Linked DNA regions of Solanum lycopersicum. The protein of the gene in region 2 interacts with the protein of the main gene of each other region in a pairwise test. Links are inferred from orthologs where the notes say so. Each region holds a gene or a part of one and is shown on either strand. Other genes may lie near its edges. The genes, in order: 26S proteasome non-ATPase regulatory subunit 8 homolog A, KN1, nuclear transcription factor Y subunit A-7, E3 ubiquitin-protein ligase BRE1-like 1, SWI3B and BEL1-like homeodomain protein 9.

Region 1 (4,826 bases), on a different chromosome or scaffold from region 2:
TTATTGCTTGATTAAAAGATTTGGATCATTTAAAGATTTATTAGATCTACGAAAAATATTTTTCTGTATAAATTATTCAATTTCAAGCAACATAAATGAAGTTAGAAATATAGGACACTCATATGCCAAAAGCTGTCATCTCCATAATTGTTTACTTATCTCCAAAAGTGTGTGTTTCATTAGAGTACCTTTCAGCAAACACCTGTTGTATATAGCAAGGTTTCACGGTTGTTATTATTTGGGTGCCAAATGAAATGTGTATTGAGTACTACATCCTTCCCAAAGAAACTTCTTTTGAGTTGAAGTGTTATTGTTCAAGTGTCTTTTTTTTAGATAATAATATTTTATTTAAATATATTAAACTTTAATTATTTTTTTGATGTTGACATTTGACTTTATAACAAATTTTAACCGAACTTAAAATGAAAATATTGCTATTTTTTTAAAGAAAGGATTTTTGTTATTTAATAAAATATTTTATTTTTTATATACGTGTGAACGGTTACCTATAGGTAGCCCTTTTAATTTTATTACTCTTATATAAAGATTATTTATTACTAAAATCAAAATATGAATGTTCTGTGTTATTTGAACCTACAGTTTTAAACTTTGGATACACTGTCAAGAACAAACATCAAATACGATATTGTTAAATGAGAGAGAAAGTTCTCTTTTGATGTCAAATCACACCTAATATATTATCATTCTTTGAAAAATCTTTATCAAAATATTTTTAAAATCACTTTTTTTTCTTTATATATTATGGGCATTCATAATAAAGAAAAAAATATTTTCAATAATATGAATATATTGAATTAGTGGATTGTTCATATTCTCAATTCATGAACTATATACATCAATGTATGTGTATTTACTAGGTTGCATTAATCATTTTCAATAAGAATATATCTATTTATTATGACATTTAACATGGTGTCTTTGAAATGATTTATAAACCTATTAATAAGAATATTTGTTTACCATTGTAAAAGACACTTGGAGATATTTGAATAATATGATCTCTGCATTTTACTTTTTTGTATATCTTGTCTATATTGTTTGTAATATATTATTTATGTTTTACAACATTTATTAGGTATCTAAAGTTTATAAAATAATAAATAATATATCTCATCTATATTATTTGTAGTATATTATTTATGTAAACGACATTTATTAGGGATCAAAAGTTTATAAAATAACAAATAATATATCTTGTCCATATTGTTTGTAGTATATTATTTATGATTTACAACATTTATTAGGTATCAAAAGTTTGTAAAATAATAAATAATATTATTTTAAATTTAGTAAAAATTGAGCGATTGAGTTATGACTTATTACTAATCCGTTTTGATCCAATTCATTTTAGCCTAAACAAATTTGAATTCAATTAGGTCTTAACTCATTTATTATTTTAATCCATTTTGTCCGTTCAAATTCAATCCAACCAACCGAAATCAGCCCAACACAAAAGCCCATGAACTTCTTCGTTGGGCTTTCAGGCCCCTTATATGAACACCAAGAAAAATCGTCCAATTTTCTTCCTCCGTTTTCTTGTAAAGAAAGAAGAGAATCCTTCTACAGAGACCGAGAAGAAAAAGCTCTGAACAGAGATCGAACATGGATCCAAAGATTACAGAAGTTTCACAGACTTTCGAACGATTCAAAGCTGCTTTTGTGCGTAACGATTTTGATGCTTGCACTAGGCTACTCTCCCAGCTCAAGGTAATCGCATCAAATCATCATCTATCATTGTTTAAACCCTAGTTTGTTTTTCTAAATTTTGCTCAAATCATGTAAATGTGAGATGTTTAGAGGTGTTAGTCTTTAATTGGCTTATCGCACTTGTATGGTGATAATTATAGTGATTTATATGCCGATTTTATGCGGAATGATTTTGATGCTTGTATTAGGCTACTGTTTTAGCTCAAGGTAATCGCATCATTATGATATTACCATAGGTGAATGCGGCGAAAACCCTAGCTTTTCGTTCTAAATTTTGCTCATTTTATGAAAATGTAGAAGGAATGGTTAGATACACTCTTCAAGTATAATGATATATATGTCGATTTTATGTTGAAGCGAAGTTGATAGTTTGTAATGGGCTACTATCTTAGCTCAGGGTAATCACATGAATATGATATACCTAGGTGAACAACTCATTGAAAACCGTAGCTTTCTGTCGCAATCTTACTCATCTTCTGAGTTGTACTTTATGTAGAGTTTTCTTCTCTGCTGCTTTATGATTGCGTTTATCACGACATTCGACCATTCTGTTAGGAATTATATTCATACTTGCAGTAGGCTGTCTCTCAGCTCAGTTAATCGAAATCAATAACACAGCGCAAACTTTTCCAAAGCCTAAGCTGTTGTCATAATTTAGCTCTTATTATGAAATGTACCGTCACAATGATTTCTGTTTTGTCGCCTTAGAAATCTTCTCTCTTATATAGCCACCAAGACTTTGATTCAACATAAAGGAAGTACAACGTTAGATCTATGTTAGGCACCCACCACAAGTTTGAATCTTGTCAATGAGTAAAGTTGGTATTTAAATAGCAGGGCAGAGGTATGGGCACATGCTACCCCAAGTGTCAAGTTTGTGCCCCGACAGGAGTGGGCCAATTAACTATCAGGGAACTTATTGGTTATAAAAAATATTTCTCTTTATGATTACCTTCGTCACATATTCAAGCTTATACTTTGATAACTTTGCCCATGTTGTGTAACTGTTTGACATGTTCAATTAACTCGAAACAGCTTAGGGAACTTTCTTCAAGATTTACCTTGGTAGGAGATAAGATAAAAAATACTCCCTCCATCCACTTTTATTTGTCATGTTGTGCTTTTTGAAAGTCAATTTGACTTACTTTCAAAGTTTAAATTAGATTACATCAATTCGATTTTTTAAACAAAAACTTTGGATATTTAAAAACTATAAGAAAAGTACTATAAAATGCAATTTCTTACATCAAGCTTCAAATGAGAGAAATATTCAACTTAAAAAGTCGATTCTATCTCGTATTTTCCTTGAACATATGCAAAAGGAGAAAATGCAGGGTTAGTTACTTTTTATCACCGGGTCTTGTAACAAGCTGGACTGATTCACTTGCAAGTGTGAGATGTAGAGAACCTCTGGTTTTAGGGAAATCCTAATTGAGTATTGGAATGAGATGAGCCACACAAAGCAGAATTTATATAAAGTAGTCAGTATACGCGACCTTTAATTTGGGATTGCAACGTAGTTGATTCACTGAGTATATGAGGTACCTAATGTGTATTGTCTTTGTGAGATTCAAGATATAGCAATGACTTATCTACCTTGTATTTTCTTATTTTCATGATAAAGGACTTCTCTACCTTGTTCAGATCGGTTGTGTAAATGTCTTTTATAACTTCGAGTTATTTTATTTTGACATTTTAGGTTCTTCTGACCTCTTTCACGAGCTTACCGCCCCTATTCCAAGAAACATCTAATGCCATCCATGAGTTGACAATTGCAAGTAATGTTCTGCACTCTTGTTTATTTTATTTGCTTTTCATTATGTTGCCTAATTGCTTCTGAAGGTGCTGGTGCTTGGTTGCTGATTGTGTATTATGATTATCTATGAATTGTAAGTACATTATCTTGGAGATGCAGTGCTCAGTTCTTCCACTAATATGCCATATGCTGTACAATGGGAAGTGTAATTCGAAGGCAGTGAAGCTGTTTTTTCAAGCCCCAAAAAAAAAACTAAAGGAAAAGGAATAGCTTGTTTGAACAAATTTGATACATTCGTTATCTCATTAAAAGTAAAAAGAAAATATTCTTCAATAATCATTTACTTCATCAAAAAGATAAATAAATATAAAATATTCTTCAATAAAATGCAGGACATGTATTCCATGAGGTCATCTGAATATAGAGCATTTTTATCCTTGTTAGGCGGGATGGCGGGATGCCATTTCAGTGTATTTCTGCAACCATAGGAAAGACAAAGACTTGTTTGTTTGCTTGCTTGTTAATATTATTATTATTAGATTTGCTTATTCTCGAGATTGTTGGCTTGCTAATATTATATGATTGATTTAAGCCATTTGAATTTGGAGCTTGGTGAAAGTTCACGGTTCTCACAGTCACACTAATAGTGTTCAATGGTATAACAATTCACAGGAGATATTTACGAGCATGCAGTTGTTTTATCTGTGAAGATGGAGGACCAGGATGCTTTCGAGAGGGACTTCTTTCAGCTAAAACCATATTACACAGATGCACGGTAACTATTTCTCAAGCTTTAGTTCCATATGCCATTTCATCTTCTGTACTTATTTGAGAAAATGGCAAAGCAAATACACATATCAAGTGTTGCATAGTTTGATATCTAGATTCCTCTCTTGCTTGCTTTGGAACCCAATTTCAACTATTTGATACTGAGGGTGAAGGAAAAACTGCCTTGGGGCAGAGTTGGGGTGGGGTATGTTTATATCGTTCTAGTTATGCTTGTGATATCCTTACCCTTGTCATAGTAAGATCTGCTGGTTGAGTCTGTTTTATAAATGCATAGCAATTGAACTGAAAAGAAGGTGCTCCTCGTCTTTTTCTTGTGATGCAGTGGCCGTCTTCCAGCTTCCCCACAGGAATACCCTATCTTAGGTCTCAACCTTCTGCGGCTTCTTGTTCAGAATAGGATTGCTGAGTTCCACACCGAACTTGAGTTACTTTCACAGAGTGCTTTGGACAACCCATGTATAAAGCATGCTGTTGAATTAGAGCAATCCTTCATGGAAGGGGCTTACCACAGGGTGTTGAGTGCACGACAGACTGTGCCTGACGCAACCTATGC
Region 2 (5,106 bases):
GATATTTGATATACGAATATTTTATTTTAATTCAATTGTATACAAATTCAAATTTTATACAGATATACAAACACATAAAAATGAGTTGAGAGGCTACCAACAATTTATACAAACGATAGCCTGACAACAATTTACACAAATGGTCAGTCAGCAAAATTATACAAATTCGAAGAGGAGCCATCAAATTATACAATTGCTCTTTAATATATATGTATATCGAAATAGTCATATCATATGTATTATGGAGTGCAATTATGCAAACTATAACTATAACATACAAAAATAATATTTATGTTTGTTGTATGTGAAAATTGTTCAAAAATATTAATCAAAACAAAATCATTGTCAAATCAACTTAAGTCGAAATGAATAATATCAATTCTTTATAAACAAAAAGATTATAGGACACAATCCGAAGACATAAATGAAAGAATCTAAACAATTGCTAAAATCATTTATACCTTTTATAAACAGTAGTGTGCTGAATTCGAAATCAAGTCAACTTGTATAATTTCGTTGTTATGTGATTCAACATGTTCCATGTATTTAGAAAAAAGATAGGTTTTTTTTGCCTTTAACACAATAGTTTAGAATTTGTTATTTGTGATATTTTCCTATTTATGTTTAGTTTTATAGATTCATACTCCTAGTTTATTTTGGTTGTTAATTATAAATACGGCTCAGTAATGGAGTTAGAAATTTTAATAAAGGGGTTTAAAATTTGAAGAAATAGACAGACGAAATAGTTGAGGGAGATTCAATCAATATAATTTTCTATCGAAAGGGTTTAGATGAACCTCTGCCACTGAATAAAGGTACGTAGTGAAAAATACAACGAACATAGAGCAATACACCCAATATACAAAAATACAAAGTTATTGAGTTGTTTAATAAAGTCTCCTTCCTATTATTTATAGATCAATAAGTTTATTCTATATAACCATTGTTTATTCATTTGGGTCAAAATAACCCATTACACACATTTTTTTCAATTCATCTCTTACAAAAATCAAGACTCAGACTCAAGATATTCACTCCCTATTTAGTGAGTCCTAATAATAGAATATATTAAAATACTTACATAAAATCATATATATGAATGAAAGAAGTTTTTATCTTGTTGATCAATGCATATAGATTACTAGTTTGAACTTTGAGTGAAATTTTTTTTCTATTTTTTATTGTATTTTTAATCTTAGCAAAAAAAATTAAAAAATACGTTATTCTTACTCATTTTGTTTCAAATGTTTAACATCACATCAATTTTCGTCCATATAACTTTTCCAATACAAATTCAACTACTTTACTAGTTGTACTTTAATTTTTGTCATCAATATTTCATCAAATACCTTTCAGTAAAATATTTAAAACATCGTATAAGAATTTTGAAAATCAATTAAATACCCAAAAAAAAAAAAGTTAAAAAATTAACTCTCTTTTGAAATATAAAAATAAAATAAAGTAACAAACTATTTTCTTTATAACTATTTAGTGGTCTTTCTTGCTTTTTCATGTAAGGTGAGTACATTTTTATATATTTTCCAATATATATATATACACACCTTTCTTTTTTCTTCAAGGAAGAACGTCTTATCACCCTACGCAGCCGCTACTAGTAACACCCCCCCCCCCTCCTTTTTTTTTTTCTTCCTTGCTCACCACAATAATCTTCTAAGATCCCTTCCAATTTCTATCTTATGATAATAATAAACTTTATTTAAATATGCACAAAATTTGTTTATTTTTAGCCAATAAGAAAGAGATCTCGTTGAGTAGTTGAAAAAAAAACTTTAATTAGTAGTTGAGGAATAATAAGTTTCCTTTTTTTTTATAGGGTTTTTATTTAGTTATCATCATCATCTTGATTTAGGGTTTTTTTTCCCCTTATTTAATGGAGAATAATAATTATAATAATCATGTGTCTGGAGAAAATTCAGGAGGTCAAAGAGGTCATTTCTTTTATGGAGGAAATCAAGTTCTTGGTGGTGCTGCCCCTATTTATGGTAGAGGTGGAGATTGTTATGATCCGATGATAGTAAAAACAGAAGGTGGAGGAAGTACTTCTCATCATAACCATACATTTCATTATCCATCGATTATTCGTAATCATCATCATGACAGTACGGAAACTTCTGGTGGTGGTGCTGGTGCTGGTGAAGTAATCGAAGCTTTAAAAGCCAAAATTATAGCTCATCCTCAATGTTCTAACCTTTTGGATGCTTACATGGACTGTCAAAAGGTATACACATTTTACTCTCCGCGTTTAATAATCATGATGTTTAAATCAGCTTACAAACGCTTAATTAATTGAATGGATACTTGTCACATCGCGATAACATATATTAATACTAATTTATTATATCCATCAAGACTGTGAATCACCGACTGTTTTTTTCCCCCTAATTTTGATTGTGTTCTCGTATAAAATCTGCTAAATTTGTTCTAACTTGTTCCTATTATGAATTTCGTAACTTATCGATGAAAATTCTATATTTATGTTGAAAATTTTGCTTATTTGGTAAAATTTAAATAATTTTCTTTTACTATTAAAATTTTATATTTATAACCTCAAAATTTAAATGACTATGATTAATGTTACATTTTTGCATTCTCAAAATGTATAATACCCAAAAGAAAAACTAAAAAAAATGGTATTGTTTTGATTTTTTTTTCTAGCTTATATTGCTATCACAAGATAAATAAATTACTCTATAGTGTGTTTAATTTGAGTGTTAAAATTATTGTAAAGGTGGGTGCACCGCCGGAAGTGGCGGCGAGGCTGTCGGCGGTACGGCAAGAGTTTGAGGCGAGGCAACGAGCTTCGTTGACCGACAGAGATGTTTCCAAGGACCCAGAACTTGATCAGTTCATGGTTAGTTTTTTAATTTTCGAAACAGACCTTATCCTTATCTCATATTGAATTTTATTTCTCTAATTTCGTAATTTTATCTAAATTTTTGCGCTTGCTCCTTTTGATTTTATTTATCTTTTATACTAACAATAAATTTTCCTTTTACTTTGTCTGATTTAGTAAATTCAGTCAATTTTAAGATTAACCTATTAAAATGAATCACTAATAAAAAAATTTTCAAGAGAGTATTAAACTCGGAGTATATATGTTGGATAAATTCACTAAATAAATAATATTATAGACTTAACATATCAAACTCCAACTCTACGCTCTCATTTCAAATTCTAAATCCGTCTCTATTATACAGGAAGCATATTATGACATGCTAGTCAAGTATAGAGAAGAATTAACAAGGCCTCTTCAAGAGGCAATGGAGTTCATGCAAAAGATTGAAGCTCAGCTTAATATGCTTGGTAATGCTCCCGTTCGGATCTTCAATTCTGGTAATTTTCTTCTTTCTCATAAATATTACACTGTAAACGAAGTTTAATAAAGAAAGACTTTTTTAAAAAAAATTGCTAACTTAAAACAAGTTAAAACATATAAATATTTACTTGAACATGAAAATCATCTCAATAAAGTAAAGTCAAAAGTTTAATATTATATTGTTTTTCTACATGGTAAGATAACATTGTTTTAGACAAAATTTAAAAGGAAATGCTAGAAGAATAAATTGAATTTAATTTGTTCTTTCATGGTAATTGCCAAGCATGGAAAGAATGCAAGAAGAATAAATTAAGGGAATGATAAAAATTTCATATTTGAGTGCTTAAAGAAGAAAAAAACCCAAAGACTAAGGGCTATGATTTGAACTTTTGTTTGTGTGTTCAGTGTAAAAACTGTTGGTTCATTGAATACTGTTTGTCCCAATGCATTGCTATTTCTGTTCAAGACAACTTTGACCCCCCCTAAAAAATATCATTCTTCATTTCCAATTAATGCTTTTTCTGTTGAGAGATACAAAAGAACATCGATGGAGTAAGAAACCCTATTTACGAGTGTACGAAGAGTAGTAATAGTAAAACCACTGAATGTGGTGCAGGTAGATGAAGTTATTTATCCTTTAGTGATTTCGAATTCGAATTTTAAATATGAAAGAAATTCTTAAAATTTTTTGAATGGGGCCTATATGATGATGTGAATTGTTTTTTTATAACCATGATATCTAGACTAGTTTAAATTCGTCTGAATTAATTTCATCTAAGTATCTATAATCTCTCATTATCAATAGCTATAAAATAAATTTTTTCATCAAAGACACGATAAACAACAAATATTTTTACTATCATTTGAATCAGAAACCTAATTTCACCAAATATCTATTATCTCCCATAATAAAATACTATCAGCTCAATCTATTTATCAAAGAAATGATAAATAACAGATATCTTTATTAAAATTTGAACCCGAAATCTCAAAAGATTCTCGATTCACTTTATTAATTGTTGAGCCACGTCATGCATTTTGACATTATACATGCATATATAGTGTGTGCTCTATTGTTTATAAAAAAGAAATGAATTGGTTGCATTTTATGCAAATAAACAAATAGAGAGACAGACAGATCTTCTAGATATAAACAAATGTAGGAAGCCACACGTTTGTTTCTCTAATCTTTGTTTAATTAATTAATTTAGATTTTAACTTTATGGGTCCGGTCCAGTGTATTCACTGACAAATTTCTTAATGGTGAATATTGTTTCCCACTTAATAAATTCTACACTACACTTATCTGACACTCTCAACAGAAACTACTTGACTCCTACAGTACACCTCTTATGAACTAATTGTGGTTTTATCTTCTTCTTTATGTCCAGTTGAAAAAATAAGACATAATTTATTATTTATATCTTAATCATTAACAATATTCACTTTTTAATGCATTTTGCAAAAAAAAAAATGAATTTGCTATATTCAAAGTATGGTTAGTATAGTAAATTTGTTATTCATACTAATTGATGTCTACTCGTAGACTTTGGAAAATGATGAAAGATTAATAAATTAATGTTAAAGATGAAATACGAAAATATCTTTTAATATACTGAAATTTTAAAATGTATGCCAAGTTAAACCTAAAGGAAGAAGTTAAAAAGGAATGTGGTGTTTAGAAGCAAAAGTAAGCACATGCATGTATCTTAAGGTAGTTTTTAGGAGTATAACAATATTGGTGTTATTTCCAAGTAAGTTTGCTTTTT
Region 3 (4,447 bases), on a different chromosome or scaffold from region 2:
AATGTGGGGCATAATGGAGCTATGATTGTGCTTATGGATTCTTGTATCTAGAGGTAAATTCATATGAAGCAAAATATATTATTTTAGATTTATGAATGATTAGTTGGATGTTTCACCGAACCTATAAATTGAAGAAAGTTGCTTGTTAGATAGCATTACTGAATACATTGGGGTCGTTCAGACTATTTGAGAAAGCAATAGGTGAATATGAACCTAAGAAAAGGATATTAATGCATCAAGTTTCTTTACTATTCCAAATGTTTTTAGTAGTAGGATGGAAATATTTCTACTTATAGATTGTCATGTTGTACACCTGGCGGATATAATAAGGGTTGTTAGTCTCTGATGAGGAAAATTTGTATATTTCTTGAAGATAGGGAATGACCTTTTTGTGCTTATTGCTTTTGATTAGTTGATGACTTTCTCTAGATAGGAGTTAGAAGTTAGAACCACTAATAAGAACATTCAGTTGTGAGAAGAAACACATGTACCCTTTCTAGTGTGTGCTTATACAAAGAGCATAAAGTTTTTGAATGGTGATGTTGTAACATTAAGAATAGATATTTCATGACTTCTCGATATTTACAATCCATCATTGTTGGGTTTGTCAATCATAACTGAAGAGACCTTGGGACGGAGAGTGATTTCCATTTTGGTCTTGTTTTCTGGTATTTTGATTGGTCTTTAAATCAGGTATGGTTGGGTTAGACACAAACACTTCAATTATAATCTCTCATTTCTGTTTTAGGCAACATCCTGTTTTACAAGCTTGTGTTATTTTATAACTAATTCTCTAGGCATTACTTCGTTTTCAGATTGCTCGATCTGTTTGTCACTCTCTACAACTGCACTTGCCACAATTTGGCTAAAATTTTCTTGTAGGTCTACTGGCCTAGAGTTTCATATAAGGTAAGTCTTTGTCCTATAGGAGGGTTACACTAGCAGAATTCTTTGAACACCATGGATAAGCTGATCTGAATCAACTAGACTCTTTATGCAGCAGCTTGAGCTTGAAGCATATAGTTAGTTACATAGTAAACACTTTTAAAATGCAATCCTTTTAAATTTTGCCATCTTTTCAGCTTTGTGAATGGAATTTAGTGCTAAAATTGTAAATCCATTGTTCCCTGTTTGGACTGCTGCATAAAGATTTTCCTGGATTAACCTGGAGCTGGATGTTTTATCTCCCTCCCTCCATTTGGCACACATAATAACCTGCAATCTTAAGTATTCTTAGTAGGACACTTATTTTTATTGGACACCTTAAACTAGAGGCTTCTGATAGAGATTGCAGATCTTTAAGGTACCAGTTGGGGAATATTTGAAGCCTGTTTCTATGCCTACTAATTTTATATTTAAGCTCTGTGATTGGTTATATCGAGTCTATTTTTCGGATAATAAATCTGCATCAATTTTTCATTAGTTGCAGGCTCAAACAGCTTATCCATATCCAGACCCATACTATAGGAGCATCTTTGCACCGTATGATCCACAACCTTATCCTCCACAACCTTATCCAGCACAACCAATGGTATTACATTTTCATAACACTTCTCATTTGGACTTCATCTATGAAATATCCCTATGAATTTGAGAGCTTAGTTGTGTCATTTTCTGTCAGGTTCACGTTCAGCTAATGGGAATTCAACAAGCGGGTGTTCCTTTGCCATCAGATGCGATAGACGAACCTGTTTTTGTTAATGCAAAACAGTATCATGGCATCTTGAGGCGTCGACAATCTCGCGCGAAAGCTGAGTCAGAAAAGAAACTTCTGAAAGCTAGGAAGGTATTTTGTCGAAAAATATTTTTCTGTATTTTTATTTGTTATACTATGTTGCTTTAGTATCCAATATTGCAATTTACAGGCAACCTTGACAGCTTGTTTGTGGTTCATCTGTTGATTTATCACTTCCTACTGTTAAGTGCTAAATAGCCTCCCAGATGATTCATGTTTGTGATGAACATATTTTAAGTGTCTGTGCATCTCTAGTGCTATTTTAAACACATACAGGGGTCGCTTGGTTCACTTATTAGCTATTTTAGAATTATATATATGAAATATTATGCCATTAATAATATATAGAAATTATTATGCAGTGAATAATGATGCGAGGGTTGTTACACATCAAAAAATAATATAGGGATTCTTATTCAGGGATATCTACTATGAGAGCATCTTTCTCAATATATCCCACATAAAATATTACATAGGTTTCTGCATAATTTAGGCCAATATTAGTAGTGCACACTTTAATTCTGGAAATATAAAGGCAATTTAGTAATGTAGAGTTCTATGTTGCAATCATATTTGTTACACAGAATTTTATATCATGATTGGATTTCCTTATGAGTCCCAATCAAACGACAAAACCATAAAATTTCCTTTACTAATAATATATACTGCAAGTGAAGTGTGGATAGCAGAGCATGAGAGAGACAGTAGAGCAAGTTCTCAAATGTATATTTTTTCTGGACTGTAACTATAATCTCCTCTATTTACAGTTGCTACGCATAAAAATCTAAATAGTTACTAGTATACCATATTAGTTTCACATTACATTGTACAAAGGTTCTGATGCAACAAAAGCTTTTAATTCTAGAACATCTATATTCTATATGATTGATCAATTGCCCATCAAAGTTTATATTGCTCTGATCTTTGGGAAACATAATTTTGATGCATTTTTTAAAAATAAAGTAAAATATTGTTGCTGGAGAACAGAGTGATTCGGTTCCCGATTCGTAATTAAGGATCTTTCTCCAAGCAAAAAATCCATTTTCTCTATGATTAATATGTATATGTCGAAAGTTATGGGTTCTGATCAATAATGTCTTCTACTCCCTAATAAATAGCTCAAAGATGGTTATCAACTGTGCTGGAAACATCTGCAAGATCCAATAACATACAGTTGGTAATAAGGTGCCTTACACCATGATTAGAAGTTCTAATATCTGTTTCTGAGGCTATGTTTTTCCAGCACGAATACCTTGGGAGGCTCACAGTGCAAAATAATCTTGCAGCCTTACTTGCATGAATCACGACATTTGCATGCATTGAAAAGAGCTAGAGGATGTGGAGGTCGTTTCCTGACAGCAAAGGAAACTGATAATCAGCAGAAACAGGATGAAACTGGTGATAAATCTCAAGTCAACATTAATCTCGAGTCTGGAAAAGACAAGGTCGCTTCTTCAGAGAATGCCTCTTGATCTATGCAATATCAAGGACTTTGTGGACCATAGTATGTTGTTACTGTTTGTAGAAACAGCAGTGCTTTTGTTAAAATAGAATTGTGGTAGCTGGGCAAAATCAGGGTAATTGTGGTGTTCTGTATGTTTATCTGAGTGTAGATAGATCGGAATAGGCCTACTCGTTTGAGAGCTACAAAGTGGCCGCTGGGCGTATGTTCTCTAAATACCATCTCTCTGAGCTTGTTTGTAGACATTCTTTCTTGTCCTTTCGTAATTGCCTTGTGATTCCTTCAAAATGTTGTTCTAGTAAGTGTATGGAATATCGAGTCAGAAATTTGAGTAATAACGTTTGGCACTACGTTTTGTTAGTTTAAGAAGATAAGCGTGCAGCACTGTTGGTTGATGAATTCTAATTTTCCAAGGTCAATGCATTCTGTGTCAATATCTTGGTTATCTATAACCATATCCGCTGCGATTATTGATTCTTGTGTCTTGCAAAGCAGCAGGTCTTGTATTTATATCCTGTTGTATTTACTTCTAGATATTCCTCCATATCTTGTAAAAAAAGTTAGAACTGTCAAGAGAGAAATTATAGTGTTGGTTGAGAAGTTTCTCTATTGTGTTACTAATCAGAATCTCCATTAATTGCTCGGAGTAAATTTCAAAACAGAGCACTTCAGTTGTATAACTTATCAAAAATAACAGATTGTTGGTAAAATATGGAGTGGTTGATACACAACCTTTCTTAAGGTTTTTTATGGAGAAACACAAGCTTATTATTATCTACAGATTCAGAACAAACTACGTTCATGCAGTTTATGAAAGTTATCCGTGAAATTTGTAAAAAAATATTGTAGAATAAATTGAGTGGTCATAAACTTATCTTAGTATAAAATTGAACCTATCCACCAACTAAACCAAGCATTGCAAATAATTTTATTAGGAAATATGAAACTAATATTGTACGATATAGAAATAACTCAATGCACTATTCATAAACCTTAATACTAAGAACCAAAAAGAGGCCTGGAGGACATGAATATTTTCAGCAAAAGGTTGCATAATTTTCGGAAGCCCAACAATTCAATGAGTAACAAATCTTCAACTCATAGCACAAAATTGTCTAAACATAGTGTTTTCAAACAAAATGAAGGCTAATAAACAACAAACTCTAAATATTAAAGCCTTAGGTGTTTGTAGCTCGGGTGTAAATCTGCTGGCTAGCATGAGCAGACACCATCCTGATCAAACCTTTAGC
Region 4 (4,944 bases), on a different chromosome or scaffold from region 2:
TGTGAAGTATTTATGGTGTTGTTCTCCAGCGATTAACTTTTGCTTTTCCTTTTAATCATATGTCAACGGAGGAAAAGTGGTTAATATTGCTTAGGGATTTTCATTGTTTTCTGATGAATGATTTACATTGTTTAAGGGTAATAATATTTCTGATGTAACTGCACCCAAGGTTGTGACCTAGTGGTTAATGAAGTGGTTGAGAACCTTGAGGTCTTAGGTTCAAAACTCAGTGGAGACAAAAAACACTAGGTGATTCTTTCCATCTGTCCCAGCCTTCGTCGATAGGTGCGAAAACTGGCCTAGACACCACGGTCATTAAGAAAAAATGATGTAACTAGTTACGAGCTTAAAAAAAATAATAATTCCATTGCAACTTTGTTACTGCATCTAATTTTACAGATTCGGATTTGTTTTCAGTAAACTCATTTAGTTGCTGCTAATTCCATGGCCATCTTTCTTCAGCCATTTTTCTCTTATAAACATTTATTTGGGGAAAAGTACTTAGAATTATACATCTAAACCACAATGAGTGAAAGTAGTTTAACCGTTAAGAAGTTTGGAAAATCTTTTACTGTAAGAATGCTTTCAAGTTTCAACCAAATTGCATGTAACCTCACTGACTACCTCACAACTATAGCAAGGAGCCTGAAGAGTTGGTAGAAGACCTGGCAGTGAACAACACATTATCTCATTACAAGTTCTCAAAGGTCAAAGATGTAGAGTGAAAGAAAAAGTCGAGGTCAGTTGGTGTTCAAAGCACAAATATAGAGTGAGAGCATTAATGAAGAAAGGGTAATAAAAATAAGTAAAAAAAATGTGTATACATATGGTCAAGAGTAATAAGCAGTTTCATCAAAGGTGAAAAGGATAAAAATTATAGTGGGTTTCTAGAGCCAGTGCAGACGAAGTGCTAGCCCCTTAAGAAAGAAAGGCTCTAGATGCAAACAAACAGTTATCTAGACAAAATAATATAAAATATCATATTAGGTGAAATATTTATTCTTTATTGCCAAATCTCTTCAAGAAAACTTATAGGCGAAAAAGCATATGCTTTAGTGCCTTGAGGCCTCAATTGAGGCACGGGCAACTACTTTGCACATAGCCTCAAGGCTTAAGTGTGTGTAAAGCGAGCCTTTGACAATGCTGAAGTCGTGGACATTTACAGCAACTTGTGTTCAATTGATTTCCCCCTTATCTGTGGCGATTATTCTTTTTTTTTTCTTTTTTTTCCATTCAGTCATGGTAGTTCTGGTCTGACTCTACAACTTGGGTTATTTGTTTAATTGTTTTTTTGTTCTTAATTCAGAATGCCTTCTTGTTTTCAACCTTTCTGTATGCATTACATTTTTAAACTTATCCTGTTAGGGTTTTCTTTTCTAGATTTTCATGCACTAATCTGTGTAAATATTTTTCCTCCTTGTAGCTGTTGTTAGATCTTATTTCCATGACCCCAACTTATCTTTGAACAGGGGAGGGTAAACACTTGGCTAATCGGTAGTGGATTGGCCAGTATTACCACTTTTAAAAAATAGCACCTGGTTTGCTTTTCTTAAGCTTTATTTGATTGAATCTCATTGTTATCCATTCTCAGTAAGACTGACAATGAATGTGGCATTAATTTGTCCCGCACTGCTTTGATGCCGGGGAGATTCCAGCATTGTGTTGTGCATTATATGCCTGTTTTATTCTTTTTTTCCCTCATGGTTAAGATGTTTGCAGAATTAGTTCCTTTTATAGGACTACTTTAGACACATTTCTGTAGCTTTACATGGATATGTTGGGTTTTTAGAGTTTCGCATCCACAAATTTCCTTACATCGCTTCAAGAGTACTCCAAAAAACGTTCTGTCTGTGCATTTCTAGTGTCTCAGGTTTCTACTGCTGCCAATGTTGTACACTGTGGTTAGTTTATTTCCTGTTCTACAGCTTGTTTTAGAAGGAGTACGGGCAAGACAACAGCGGGATTGTTTGGCTTGGGAAAGTCAAATCACAGAGAGAGCAGTTGAAGATGCCAATACAATGGTCAGTTCCTATGAAATGAAAGCTGCCAAAATTGATGACCAGGTAATTGCATATCTTCTCTGAAGTGCCAAATGTTTATATTTCTCCAGACTTTAAGTGTATGTATTTCCTTTCAGTTGAGGGGATGCTCAGACTTGATCCAGAAGCTTGCTGAAGATAGGGGTCAGAATTCTCTTGCTTTAGAGAACACCCAAAAACGGTTTTTAGATGTAAGAAAATCTTCCCAGCAATTGCGGGAGACGCTGGAAGAATGGCAATCCAAGATCGACGAAGTTCGAGTTGATCTTGCACAGTTGCAGATAGAACTAGAGAAAGAAAGGTAACTGAAGGTTAACCTTTGTCTGTATACCCATTATGAATTTATCTTAAACCAATACTCTCATATGTTCCTTTATTATATGATCTTCGCTTTACTTGGCTAGGTTTGAGAGAAAAAGAGCAGAGGAGGATGTAGAAGCTCTGAGGAGAAAGACTTCACGTTTGAGATCACACATTGAAGGGTCATCTGTTATTGAGAAGCTTCAGCAAAAACTAAGGGAATACAAGGAAATACTCAATTGTAGTATTTGCTTTGATAGGCGCAAAGAGGTTGGACCGACTGACCTTTCCTTATTTATTTGGTTGATCAGCATCAGTTTGGTGAAGTTGAAAGTACCTATAGAATGTCACATCTGATGTAGGATCCACTGTTGCAAGTTTGTGATTCTGGCAGCAGATGGGATGAAAAGATTGCGTTCTTACTTTAGATTGGTTATTGAGATAATAGTATGGCGATATCCAAGAGATTCTTCAGTTATGAGATCCATGGTTCTGAATTAGGGAACAACCAGTGTCCAGTAGTGAGACCGAATAGTACCTCCTTACCAAAAAAATAGTACATTTAACCAAACATGTGTTAATTTGTTACATGATCTTGTCTGATGTGAATAAGCACAGTGATGCTTACGTCCACCATCTGGTGAGATTCTAAGAGATCCTGACAGCTAACTTGTTACAGTGGTTGGTTTAATTTTTGCCATGGTGGTAATAGAACTAGTATTCTCCAAATATTTTTTTGATAGCGATGGAGTCCAGGTCAGTTTGTTCATACCTCGACTATCCCATCGGTATGCTACTTCCCACTAGAACAGGTACTAGGTAACATTACCTATAAAGATTTATTATTGTTTAGACATGACAAAGATAATGCCTATGTTTTTTTTTTCGGGATTGGTTTGCACCCGCTTCATTGACCACCAGGCCACACCCTTGGGTTCAACTAGTTTTCTCCAAACATGTAATTGTGTCCTTAGTGAGGAAAGAATTTAACTTTGCTAGACTCTTTATCTGATACCTATTTCACTCTGAGAGCTAAGTTTTCTTTATTACATTACAGGTTGTCCTCGCAAAATGTTACCATCTCTTTTGTAATCCGTGTATCCAAAAAATTGTGGAGACTCGTCACCGCAAATGTCCTGTCTGCTCTGCAAGCTTTGGAGCAAATGATGTCAAGGCCGTTTATATCTGATCAGAAACATGAGGATGTCTAGGCCTTTTATTATGTCACTGTTGTGAAGCAAGGTTGTCGTTCACTTATGGTCTATGCATATATTTATGCAGGAAATAACATAAAACAGAAAAAAATTCTGGTGGTTGAAAGTGGATAGTCTGCATGGATTTGCTGGTGCTAGTCCAAAGGTTAATGATTTTGTTAATCTTTTGCTGGTGCGTGTCCAAGGTTGTTGATCTTGTTCATTAACCTTTCCTTTATTTAAGTGGATGCACTTAAGTTCACATCTTTGGTTGCTGAGTTCTATTGTTTATTGCCTTGTTATTAAGTCCCAATCCATTGCCTCAAATAGAGTTTGTTCACCCCGTTGTCGCCCCCTCCATCGCTTCTCCTAGTATATAGGTTTTCCCCCATACTCACTCAATTGCCTGAAAAGGTGAACATAATTTTTTTTTAAACCACAATTTTTAGTTGCTGGTTAGGAAGTAAACTCATGTATTAAAACTAGCATAACTAATACCATGTTCTGTAGCATTTTAGTTGCTATGTATAGAATATAGCACACGAACCAATACATGTATAATTCATGAGGGGGTTTATGCATTATTTTATGCCAAGTAAAAGATGGACCAACTAAGTCTTGCATAATTAGTTCGTACATTACTATTACTACTATCCAAACGACCCCTTATTTCATTATCCTGGGTCTCGAACCCGAGATCTTTGATTATGTCCTGTGTTGCTGTAGCGGTTGTGATTGAGTTTGTTTGTTTCCTCTTAGTTCAACTATAAGGAAGATTTTAAATTTGGGTATTTTTTGGTTACTACCTTGTCGTGCATCTTTGCAAGTGCTCAGTTTGAATGAATAAGCTTGTATCGCGGTGATCACTCCACCCAACACAAACCAATTTTTAACATCCTTTCCTTGAGCGCTAATTTGTTCTCGAGCCATCCTCTTCCTCAAAAGGCACATTTTCATTCCCTAAGTACCTATATGCATCATCCTAACTCCAATTATTAGATTAATACTTCACAATCATGTATTTAACATGATGTATCACCTAAAAGTGGTAAAAATGCAAAGAAAATAACGTCTTAAGATCACATATTAATATACCTAACATCATATCCCTCTAGGAAAACTCTAGACATATGCCCTTCTTTTTATCTAGACACAAATTTAGCGTTTATAAATGAGTTGTAGATCTGTGGCGGTATAAAGTCTTAACAATATATCAACATGGGTTGCAGTGCACTGGTGGGAGGGATCCAGATCTCAGGTTCGAGCCCAGATAAGGAGAAAATTCTGCTGGGATTGTCACCTCCGAATGGATCTTACACCGCGCGATTTGAATTTAGTCTTTGAATGTGGGGAAACTAAAATAAGAAGTCTTAATATAATTATTAAGTTTAACTTATAGTAATAGGTAACCA
Region 5 (5,018 bases), about 4.2 Mb from region 2:
TTTGCTAAAAGGCCAATGGACATTCAAGTACTAAGTGAAATCTCCATAAACCAGTCTTTTGGTAAGTACTGCTTGGGGTGAAGCCAAATAAAAAAGACAAAAAAAATAAAAATAAAGGGAGGAGGAGGGTAAAAGCCCCTCTTGTCTTGGTCTTGTTATCGATGAAGTTCTCATGTAGTTTAATCATTCTAAGTCAATTGAGTATCAAGGTCATTAATGCCCGCCAATCCTGTTGGAACAAAGAGGCTAGACAAAAATTTCACAATACATCCTTGTAAATGAAACAAGGATGTCAGTAAAGATGGCCCTTGGCATTTTACATTCCAAAAGTTGTTGTCAAAGAATGCAGCAAACAATGCACCAAGAAGACGCATTAATTAACATTGCAAATGCGCTAATACTACTGCACAAACCAAGAGACAAGAGTTGCATCAGATTTCACTTTAGACAAACTCCTTTCTTATGAAGCTGACACCCCATATGTCTAAAGTTTGCAGTAGTACTCTTATCAAAAAAGTTTGCAGTAATAGGGATTTCTCTGTTGAAACCACAACAAATAATAGGGATACCTTGCCGCTCTGCACCACAGAGTACAGATTCTAGACTCCCTGTTGTTATTCCTTCACCAATCTCAGACAAAGCAGTAACAGCGGCATGTGCTGCTAATTCTGCAACTTCTTTTCCAGCAAGAGCAGAGAGGAAAGCAGCCTGCAGCAAGATTCAAAAACAAGAGGAATCAGTTGAAGTCTAACTTGACTATTATTAAAGACCTAATTAATCAACTTGTCTACTTCAAGAAATCAGCAGCCCAAAAGACTCTTAGTCAATGAGGGAGAAGAATGACCCTAGATCTATATAACATATCAAAGTAAGATGAGAAGCAAAGTTTCCTTGATTGTGTAGAAATTGAAATTGCTTCAGCAGAACGTCTTAAGATCTACGTAAATAATTCAAAGTCAGATGGGAACCGAAGTTCCCTTGATAGCGTAGAAATTGGAATTGCTTCAGCAACTACATTGAACTTGCAAAGTATCCAAGGGAATATTGTATGCACAAGCACTTAACAGATGTCCAGTTTCTTTTTAATATTCAAGGTCCACAATACTAAATAGAACATGTATATCTAACTGACTTACTGCTGCTCTGTTTTTTTCTTTTTTTTTTCTTTTTTGCTGGCTGCTGATCTGTTCTGTCTCTATATTTTTTTCTACAGTATTTTTGTTGTTCTATTACTGAGTTACTCTTTTATCTTTGCTTGTAGTAAGTTGTATTTTCTTATTCAATGTCACAATGAAGAATAAGAGTTTGATCCTTTGTGATTTGGTTATGTATTTGTTTTATATGTTATGACTCACGAGGATTATTGACAATCTATTTACTTTTTAATCTAGGAATATGTTACTTCTATTCAGTTATTTAATATTTTTTATTATTTTTATACTAAATACCGCTTTATCTGAAAAAAGTGTGCGCAAACTTCACGCTTCTCGCTTCTGTAAAGCGAACCCTTGTCGCTGTTTTTTGCTTCTTGCTTCCCAAACACTGATCTAACATCCTAAAACATCCATGTAATAAGAAATGTGACTTAGTACCTGTGCTATAATTGGGTTGCTTGTATCAGCAAAGGGTGTGAGGCGCCTTCTCTTAGATTGAAGATACATAGTTTCAGACCTGGATTCACTATCCATTTCTGCAGATTCAGGAGGGCCCATAAACTGCTCACCGAAAGGAAGCTTGACAAATCTAGCCACACATTCCTTAGTGCTTCTGCCACCAACATGCTCAGCAACCTTCTTCCAATCATCGCCATAATGCATAAGAGCTTCTAAAAGGTGCAAAGTCTCTTTGTCAGTCCAATCTGTCTTAACTTCCTCACTAATCTCAACCCGTCGAAGCTCTGAATTATTCACGCCAACTCTATTATCATTACTAACATAGCATCTTGCACAAAGAGTCAAATCATACTGCATTTAAACAAACAAAAATTGAAGTAAACTCATTTTTGACAATAGCAACAAGCCCAACCAACACCTCAAGTAAACTGCCATTTAGGATTAAGCAAAAAAAAAAGAAAAAAAAAAGAAGAGAACTTTTTAAATAGAAACCATGAGCTATGAAAAGTATGAATCTATAGACTGAGATGTGAGAGCTAAGAGGTAAGCATGACCAACTGAGGAGAAGCTAAAAGATTCAAACTTGATTCAAAAGAGTTGTTAGATACCAATTAGTCCTTCTAATTTACGAATAAACAAGATAAAGCAAACACTCTAAAATAGAGGACTGTTGCAATCACCTTATCAGAAGCGAAACAAGCAATCCTGCAAACTGTTTTGCAGAGATTGCAGATTCTTTTCTTGGGGAGAGTAAAATCAGTGGACGTTCCATTGGCGTCAGCATTTTGCGGAGCTGAGGCAGATGTTGACTTTGACTCTTTTTCTTCCCACTTGATCAGAGACTTGGAAGAGTTAGCAGTGTAATTGATCAAACCCCATGTCTCTGAGAAATCGAAAACCCTACGAATTGAGCCGACGTCTCCAACAATGGTCTTGCGAGCCTCAGTAAAGGTTATCTTTTTAGTGGGGTTATCTCTGAATCTACGAATAATAGTATTCCTATAGTATTTGTATGTCTTAGGGTTCTTGGAAGGCGACCTTCCATCAAAGAATTCAGGAAGAAAGCGAACCTCACATTCATGAATGCTATTCCATGAAAACCAACCTAAAAGAAGAAGAAGAACTAATTAAGTATCACGAATCATCTATATCCATTCCACCCTAAAAATACAGAAGCAAATTTGAAAAGAAAAGCTGAAAAGTAGATGGGACTTACGGGAATAACTGGGAATATAGATGAAATCAGGTTCAGTAATACGGGAGGAGATAGTGGTGGGAGTGACGTCTTTGGGATCGGTGACTGAAGGAGTTGTTGGGTTTGGGGACGATTCCAGTTGTTGGGGACGCTTTAGTGGCAAAGCAGCCGTTTGAGGTTGCTGCGACGGTGGCGGAGAGGTAGTTTGAGGGTCAGATTTAGCTGCCTGTGACTTGATTTCGCCTGATTCGGGCATGTTGAAGCGTTAGAATTTAGACAAGTGTAATCTCAAGGCATTTGGGAGATGAAACGCACAAACGGTCTATCAACAGACAATTATAAGGTTTTATTTATACGAAGGGCCAATTTTATTTTGACCAATAGCTTAGTTAGTAATAGGTTTGCTTGTGTCCTTTTTAAATTAAAAAAAAAAAACACTTAATAATTATTAATGTCTAAATTACAACTCAAACGTCCTATTAATTTTTATTTTGTGGGTTTTACATCGACCGATAGATTGCTATAAACAAGAATAATACCTTGTATGAAAGAGATTTGCAATCCTTAAGAAAGACAACTAAATCACTAAACCTGAATCATGAAACAAAACTAGATTTGAATATATAGGAAAAGGAACAGCAAACGCAAATTTGAGAGTTGAGACATTGACATGGTTGATGTAATATTCAACAGAATAGGTTAAAGGGGAATGAATAATATAAACTTCATTGGCAAAGTCTGCTCTGAGTACCAAACACAAATAAATGATGCAACACTGCTTTTGCACCCAAAATTATGGTCATGTCACACCAACCTTGGTGATAATAACTGAAGCTTCTTGCTTCAAGAATCATCAATAAAACATCCAAATTACAGAATGAATCTCAAGTTTAAGACTAAAGCTTGTTTGTTTTTTATGCACAAGACTTTTAAACACGGTGCATGGTGCACCAGCACGCAAGACAATGACTATCTACACACCCAAAAGCATATTCTGGGAGTTTTTGACTATAACTGAATCACAGGTTGATTCTGATGTGAATTTTTTACAAAGTTTATTGCTACAAGGAGGGAGCCAGAAACCTATTCCAGTATCCCTCAAATGCATGACTCTCTGCCAGTGATCCTGAAACCAGCAGAATGCAAGGGCCTAGATACATGATGTTGAAGGAAGTGCAATCCGCAACTTCCATGTTTCCTCACTCAATCATCAGGAGCGACTCAGACATTGAGCTCTCATGGTGTGGGTATGACTTTTTATAACCTGCATCAACGCAAATGACGTTAAGACTAGAAAAGGTTTGATAGCTTTTTAATATGTGATATCTAGGAGAAGGATAACCTTGCTACATAATCTACATACACCAAATTACTTTTTAGTGTCTTTTTCCTTTTTTTAAAGGGCTGCATATCAAATTAGTAGATTATTTCAGAGTTTCATTAATTCTCCTCAGCAGCTTCAATTCATATTGATGACATGCAAATGGCACTGAAACGGGACTGCTTACCACATAAAGGACCTTTAAGCAAATTCAAATACTTAAGTATTGCAAATATAAGCTGGCACCAAATGAAAAAATTAATTGAACTAATCATGAAAAGAGACTACTTATTTGGACGCCATAAGAGATTGTTAAAATGTATGATAAGAAGATACGACATTGACTACTATTAAAACACATCAAAAATCAAATTATGTACGTAGAAAGATAAAGACAACAACGAGAAAGAACTGCCAAGTATCTGTCATCTCCATCTGATGTGTAATTATACCTGTCAGACAGTAATCATACCTGCCACACATAGTAGGTTGCAAAAAAAAAACATTTTCCGAGGAACATCATCATGACGAATTTAATGAAAATTCAAAACCATCTTTGGGAGTTCTTGTAAACACAGTAACATGTTAGCCCAAACCCAGTATCCTTGATCAGGCAAAGAAGGTCCCCGCCAAGAAAGAGGCCCTATAATGATGCCTTCTTTTTTCATTTTGGATAAGTCAAGCCATGTAATGATTTTAACATACGGTCATTTGCATAGAGAATATACCTGCTTTCTGTTTTGGTCCTCATATTACCTCATACAAGCAATTGAACTTAACCACCGCCACCACACATATACACACCCAAAAAAAAAAAGAATAATCGATAAAGATGCAGAAGGGGGGTAGGGGAGCACGGACAAACTCAAGGGAAACAAAAGAGGTTAAA
Region 6 (4,863 bases), on a different chromosome or scaffold from region 2:
GGAAACCTTCCTTACTCAAAGAAGGGAAAAACCACACCGAAGTTTTATATAAATTCAAAATTTACAACTCAGTTAATCAATGAATCTAACTCTAAACTTCTACCCTTTTCGATTAACTATAATCGAAAACTCTCCACTAAACAAGAAGTCAAACTCGCTTCTTGTTTACAAAAGCTCTCAACTCTTCCTAACTCTAACCACCTAAGAAGTCAAATCCACTTTTTGTTTACAATTCTCTCAAGACTCAACTCCCAAGAAGTCAAAGCCACTTCTTGTTACAATTCTCTCAAGACTCAACTCCTAAGAAATCAAACCCACTTCTTGTTACAAATCTCTCAAGATTCAACTCCCAAGAAGTCAAACTCACTTCTTGTTACAAATCTAGGAATTATTACAACTCAATAATAAACCTAGAACAAATCAACAAAGACTAATCACCCTAGATGATATATTTCGTGAATATGCAATACCTATCATTCTGACTTTGCTGGAAAAATTCTCTCGATTTTTGTGATTGTCAAGATACTTTTTTCTTTCAACTTCTTGATCGTTTTATAGATTTGATTTGCCTTCAACTTTTACAATGAAATGAATTACAAATCATTTTCCTTCTTGAACTTGTCTATATTGAGTTAATCTCTTCGATTATAAAATTATAACTTCAAATTACTGGAGTTTTTAGTGGAAATCTAAAACAAATCCTACACTTGTTGGTCTATTGTGTCCTTTTACTCCCTTGACCAAAGATTTTTCTTGGTATAATTTTATATATTAGTGCATTTCACACTTTAATTCTTGTTTATGGTTCTTCAATGCATTATGTAACAACTTAAAATAACATTAAATTTTGAATAATTTATTAATATAATTAAATAAAAAGTTAAAACATAAGTTATTAAGTTGTGCGAATATAATTTGACTTAACTTCATGTGTATTAAGACTTTTTTTCCTGATTTTATAAACCTTATTTAAGTTTTATTTTCCTCGCGAACGAAAATCATACTATTATCATAAATATTTTAATTTTTTTTTAAAAATATATAATTTATTGTCCAAATTTGAATTATTCCTTACTTGAATGAACACTATAGGGGTGTGCATTTGATTTTTCCGTTTGATTTTATTTTATTCGATTTGAGTTTTTAGTTTTGAAGAAGTGTAACCTAATTCGAATCAAAATAAATTTAGTTTAATTAATTGATTATGTCAATATTTAGAATTATAACAAAGTTATATTTGTAATTTAAAAAAAAATTATATATATAATATTGAATTTCATAAATATACTTTTTAATATACATCACAAGTAAAACGTAAAATACAATACATAAAAATATATCAATTATAAATGCCCAAACATAAAAATAAACTAAAATCATGATGAAAATAAAAATGGTTAACTCTAACTTAACTCTCTCTCTCTCTCTCTATATATATATATCATTTGATTTTTTTTTATTTTTCGATTTTCATTTTTCTAAATCATAAGCCAAATTAAAAAAACAAACAAAATAAATTATAAAGCAAAAATCAAACTAAAAATCTAAAAATTGAATAACTCTCTTCTCGTATCAAAACATAATATAATTTTATTTATGATATCTTTTTTTTATATAGATCGATATAAAATTTTTATTTGTCGTCTGATTTATCTTTAGCAACCAACCCAACAGTGTCACTACATTATTTGCAGCTATGCTACATGAAGTGCACATTCCACAACTACCCCCTAGTCTAATATATGAGTGAGTGTAACACTATTTTCTCTCAACCTAGCTTTTGATTTGATTGTCTTTTTCTCTCTCTCTCTCACCTCAAAACTGATAGATATCAGTATATATATTGTCATAAATCCTAATACCAATAATAACACTACTTCTAGCCTTTCACTTCATCCAATCACACCCACATCTCTTCACTACTATTATTCATTTTCACATCTTTCATTTCATTTCATCTTCCTTTCTTATTTTATTTTTTTTAAATAAAGAGTCTTGTTTATCTTTCTCTTGCCTTGTTTATTTTTTTTCTTAAAAAAAAAATTAAATGGCTGAAGGATTTGAACCTTATCATGTCCCACAACAAAGTAGAAGAGATAAGCTTAGAGTTTTACTTGATGAAAATAATAATAGTAATTGTCAAATCCCCCCTCTTTATGATCCATCTATTGTTTTATCTTCAGATTTATCAATTTTTCAAGAAATTAATGGTAACCCTTTTCTATATACATCTCAAATTCCAAGATTTCTTGATCATAATAATACTAATACTAATAGTAATAGTAATAGCAATGGTCAAGGTAATTTATCTTTGTCTTTGTCATCTCTTCATAATAATGACTTGTCTTCGTCTAAGAGTATTACTACGACTACTAGTTGTGTACCACTTGGACCTTTTACGGGGTACTCTTCAATTTTAAAGAGATCAAAGTTTTTGAAACCAGCACAGATTTTGTTGGATGAATTGTGTCATGTTACTAAAGGGATTTATGTTGATGATAGTAATGATGATGCTTCTAATTTGATGATGGATACTCCACAAGGTTTTACTAATGGAGAGGAACAATTTGGGAAAAAGAAATCAAGGTTAATTTCAATGCTTGATGAGGTACACCTTTTATTAATTATTTTTCCTTTTTATACATATAGTCATGAGGGTTCTTAATTTTGGTATTTCTACATTCTTGTTTTTCTAATTCGATATTTGATATTCGCTTTGAGATTCAACTAATAGAATTTTATGTTTTTTCATTTTCAAGATTCAAACTTTGAGACTTCGCGTTTGATGATGATATTTTTGTCAAACCAAATTGAATTAGGAGGATATTGCTAATAACATCAAAAGTAAAACTTTGAGTATTGATAAAGTTGTTTTTTGTGAAACATATAAATTATGTGTTTTAGTTGTGAATAGAGACATTTGTATTTGAATTAGGATAAATGGTATATATTTCACGTTACAAAAAAAAGTGTTAATTATATAATAAAGGTATTTTGAAATTTATAAGAAATTTATTTTTTTATAAATTTTCGTACGAATTTTAATGTAATTCACAACTTTCTTATAATAGATCTCCGGTGTAGTGTCTAGTGTGCGACTCTTCTTTTAAACTATTTGTGAATGCGGAATGATTTATGCACCCGATTATTCAATTTTAATGTTCACATTTTTCTTCTTAGCTTGATTTATTTTTTTCTCTTTGTGGAAAAAGTTTAATTTTTATTGAATGTGTGGTAGGGAGGGGAGTTCAGAGTTAGCTTGTTTCTGCATTAATTATAGAACCATATATTTTTCTCCATTGACTTTGCTTGCAATTACTCAAGTCTTTTTGGTAAGTTTTAAAAGTATAGCCATCATAATTTGAAATTTTTTTGAGTAAAATATTTCAAAAAAAAAGTAGTTATATATATTTTTTAATTTTAATTTTACTAATAAAACTATATTTTATTAGTAATTTTTAAATTCAAACCAAATATATTATCCAACTGCCTAACTTTTTACACTTTTTTTCTTATGATTCTTATCCAGCTGTTGTCTATGAAAACTCCAATGCTTTTCTTTTTCTAGCATATACTATATGTTAAAATTAAAAAAAAAAAAAAAAGAAGAGATTCTTTAAAGTGATGAGTTATCGTTAATGTCCGTACAAATATGCACTATGAGATTTTTTTGGGTATTTAGAAGCTTTTTAGCATTTTAATATTACTTCCAAATATTGCTTTTACTTTTTTCATGCTCATTAAAAAATTACAAAAAAATAAAATATAATTTATTAAAATATTTTTACTTAATAAACGAGTTAATTGATTTCCCTTAAACATCATTCATTCTTGTAGGCTATTGTCAAAATTAATAGTCAAGTACAATTCTGCTCTGATATCATGTTAAAGTGTATGATTATCTTACCTAAAAATTTAAATTATTAAAAAGAACACTTTTTATTTATTTAATAATATCCTCCATCGTAATTTTCGAGGGAGGGTACAACGTTTAGAAGAATAAGTAAAAAGAAAGGTAGGGAGTAATTATTTTGTGATAAATCTTTTTTTAGTTAAAATGGTAGTAATAAAAAAATATTTGTTACCTATATTAGATATACTAAATGATATTTTATAGTGTAATTTATTATTGAATTAAAGGCTACACAGGCTAGATGCCTATGTGATATAGGCGTACAGGTTCTTATAAATCACTAATTTTTCTTTTTGGGAAAAGGTGATTTAGGGAATATATGCACAAAAATTGGTGCCTTAATTAAAGTGTCCTACTCAATTATAGATAAGAAAATTCTAAATACTCCTCTTTTCTTTTTTTAGCGTGTGATATAATTTAATTAACCTTAAACGAAAAATATAAATTTTAGAATTAGTGCGCTTAAGTATGATATAAGATATTTGTGCAGCAATAAAAAATTTAAATTGAAACTTCTTTTGTATTTATTGATAGTTTTTTGAACTTGTATGTAGTAGTCTAATTTAATTTTATATTTTTATCGTATAAAAGGTAATTTTATATTGGATTGTTTGTTTTTTGAGTTAAGACTTTGTCAAAAATAATTTTTCTATATTCTACATAAAGTTATGATTACGTACACTTTTTTTCTCAAATCTTACTTGGTTGGATTATACTGAAGTGGTAATTGTTGTTTATGTATAAAGGTTAGAATTCCTTCTAATAAATCTAGTTACTTTCATATCGAAACGTATGGATTCAAGATTCTATTATAATATTTTTTCAATTTGAGTGTCTCGTGCGATATGTAACTTACTTGTGTTCAATTTTGTATAAGTATATCAGTGTTTATTTATGCACAACTAAAATTAGAACGTAAATATAATTTTCTATAATAACAACTAGTAGTT

The links.
Region 1: the proteins of KN1 (region 2) and 26S proteasome non-ATPase regulatory subunit 8 homolog A interact in binary tests that used the Arabidopsis thaliana proteins (3 or more experiments, as listed by UniProt). The link is inferred for Solanum lycopersicum from reciprocal best matches to the Arabidopsis thaliana genes KNAT1 and RPN12a.
Region 3: the proteins of KN1 (region 2) and nuclear transcription factor Y subunit A-7 interact in binary tests that used the Arabidopsis thaliana proteins (3 or more experiments, as listed by UniProt). The link is inferred for Solanum lycopersicum from reciprocal best matches to the Arabidopsis thaliana genes KNAT1 and NF-YA7.
Region 4: the proteins of KN1 (region 2) and E3 ubiquitin-protein ligase BRE1-like 1 interact in binary tests that used the Arabidopsis thaliana proteins (3 or more experiments, as listed by UniProt). The link is inferred for Solanum lycopersicum from reciprocal best matches to the Arabidopsis thaliana genes KNAT1 and HUB1.
Region 5: the proteins of KN1 (region 2) and SWI3B interact in binary tests that used the Arabidopsis thaliana proteins (3 or more experiments, as listed by UniProt). The link is inferred for Solanum lycopersicum from reciprocal best matches to the Arabidopsis thaliana genes KNAT1 and SWI3B.
Region 6: the proteins of KN1 (region 2) and BEL1-like homeodomain protein 9 interact in binary tests that used the Arabidopsis thaliana proteins (3 or more experiments, as listed by UniProt). The link is inferred for Solanum lycopersicum from reciprocal best matches to the Arabidopsis thaliana genes KNAT1 and RPL.

The regions. Positions count from the first base shown.
Region 1 is NC_090807.1:67,621,910-67,626,735, forward strand, and holds the start of 26S proteasome non-ATPase regulatory subunit 8 homolog A, read left to right. Parts: upstream 1-1,500; 5' UTR 1,501-1,623; coding exon 1,624-1,728; intron 1,729-3,427; coding exon 3,428-3,506; intron 3,507-4,156; coding exon 4,157-4,259; intron 4,260-4,595; coding exon 4,596-4,826. UniProt on the Arabidopsis thaliana protein: Acts as a regulatory subunit of the 26S proteasome which is involved in the ATP-dependent degradation of ubiquitinated proteins. May help to control the degradation of one or more factors that repress cytokinin signaling.
Region 2 is NC_090803.1:63,959,039-63,964,144, forward strand, and holds the start of KN1 (homeotic protein knotted-1), read left to right. Parts: upstream 1-1,718; 5' UTR 1,719-1,891; coding exon 1,892-2,239; intron 2,240-2,749; coding exon 2,750-2,872; intron 2,873-3,218; coding exon 3,219-3,354; intron 3,355-5,106. UniProt on the Arabidopsis thaliana protein: May play a role in meristem function, and may be involved in maintaining cells in an undifferentiated, meristematic state, and its expression disappears at the same time the shoot apex undergoes the transition from vegetative to reproductive development.
Region 3 is NC_090801.1:55,885,542-55,889,988, reverse strand, and holds the end of nuclear transcription factor Y subunit A-7, read left to right. Parts: intron 1-1,423; coding exon 1,424-1,531; intron 1,532-1,621; coding exon 1,622-1,786; intron 1,787-2,853; coding exon of another isoform or gene 2,854-2,916; exon of another isoform or gene 2,917-2,920; intron 2,921-2,978; coding exon of another isoform or gene 2,979-3,021; coding exon 3,022-3,207; 3' UTR 3,208-3,485; downstream 3,486-4,447. Other genes in the region: ribosomal protein S25, read right to left, coding at 4,376-4,447. UniProt on the Arabidopsis thaliana protein: Stimulates the transcription of various genes by recognizing and binding to a CCAAT motif in promoters.
Region 4 is NC_090810.1:7,003,079-7,008,022, reverse strand, and holds the end of E3 ubiquitin-protein ligase BRE1-like 1, read left to right. Parts: intron 1-1,925; coding exon 1,926-2,063; intron 2,064-2,137; coding exon 2,138-2,340; intron 2,341-2,443; coding exon 2,444-2,609; intron 2,610-3,396; coding exon 3,397-3,528; 3' UTR 3,529-3,794; downstream 3,795-4,944. UniProt on the Arabidopsis thaliana protein: E3 ubiquitin-protein ligase that monoubiquitinates H2B to form H2BK143ub1. H2BK143ub1 gives a specific tag for epigenetic transcriptional activation and is also prerequisite for H3K4me and maybe H3K79me.
Region 5 is NC_090803.1:68,202,215-68,207,232, forward strand, and holds the start of SWI3B (SWI/SNF complex subunit SWI3B), read right to left. Parts: upstream 3,133-5,018; 5' UTR 3,065-3,132; coding exon 2,830-3,064; intron 2,719-2,829; coding exon 2,294-2,718; intron 1,965-2,293; coding exon 1,593-1,964; intron 709-1,592; coding exon 570-708; intron 1-569. UniProt on the Arabidopsis thaliana protein: Component of a multiprotein complex equivalent of the SWI/SNF complex, an ATP-dependent chromatin-remodeling complex, which is required for the positive and negative regulation of gene expression of a large number of genes.
Region 6 is NC_090808.1:5,213,287-5,218,149, reverse strand, and holds the start of BEL1-like homeodomain protein 9, read left to right. Parts: upstream 1-1,758; 5' UTR 1,759-2,047; coding exon 2,048-2,608; intron 2,609-4,863.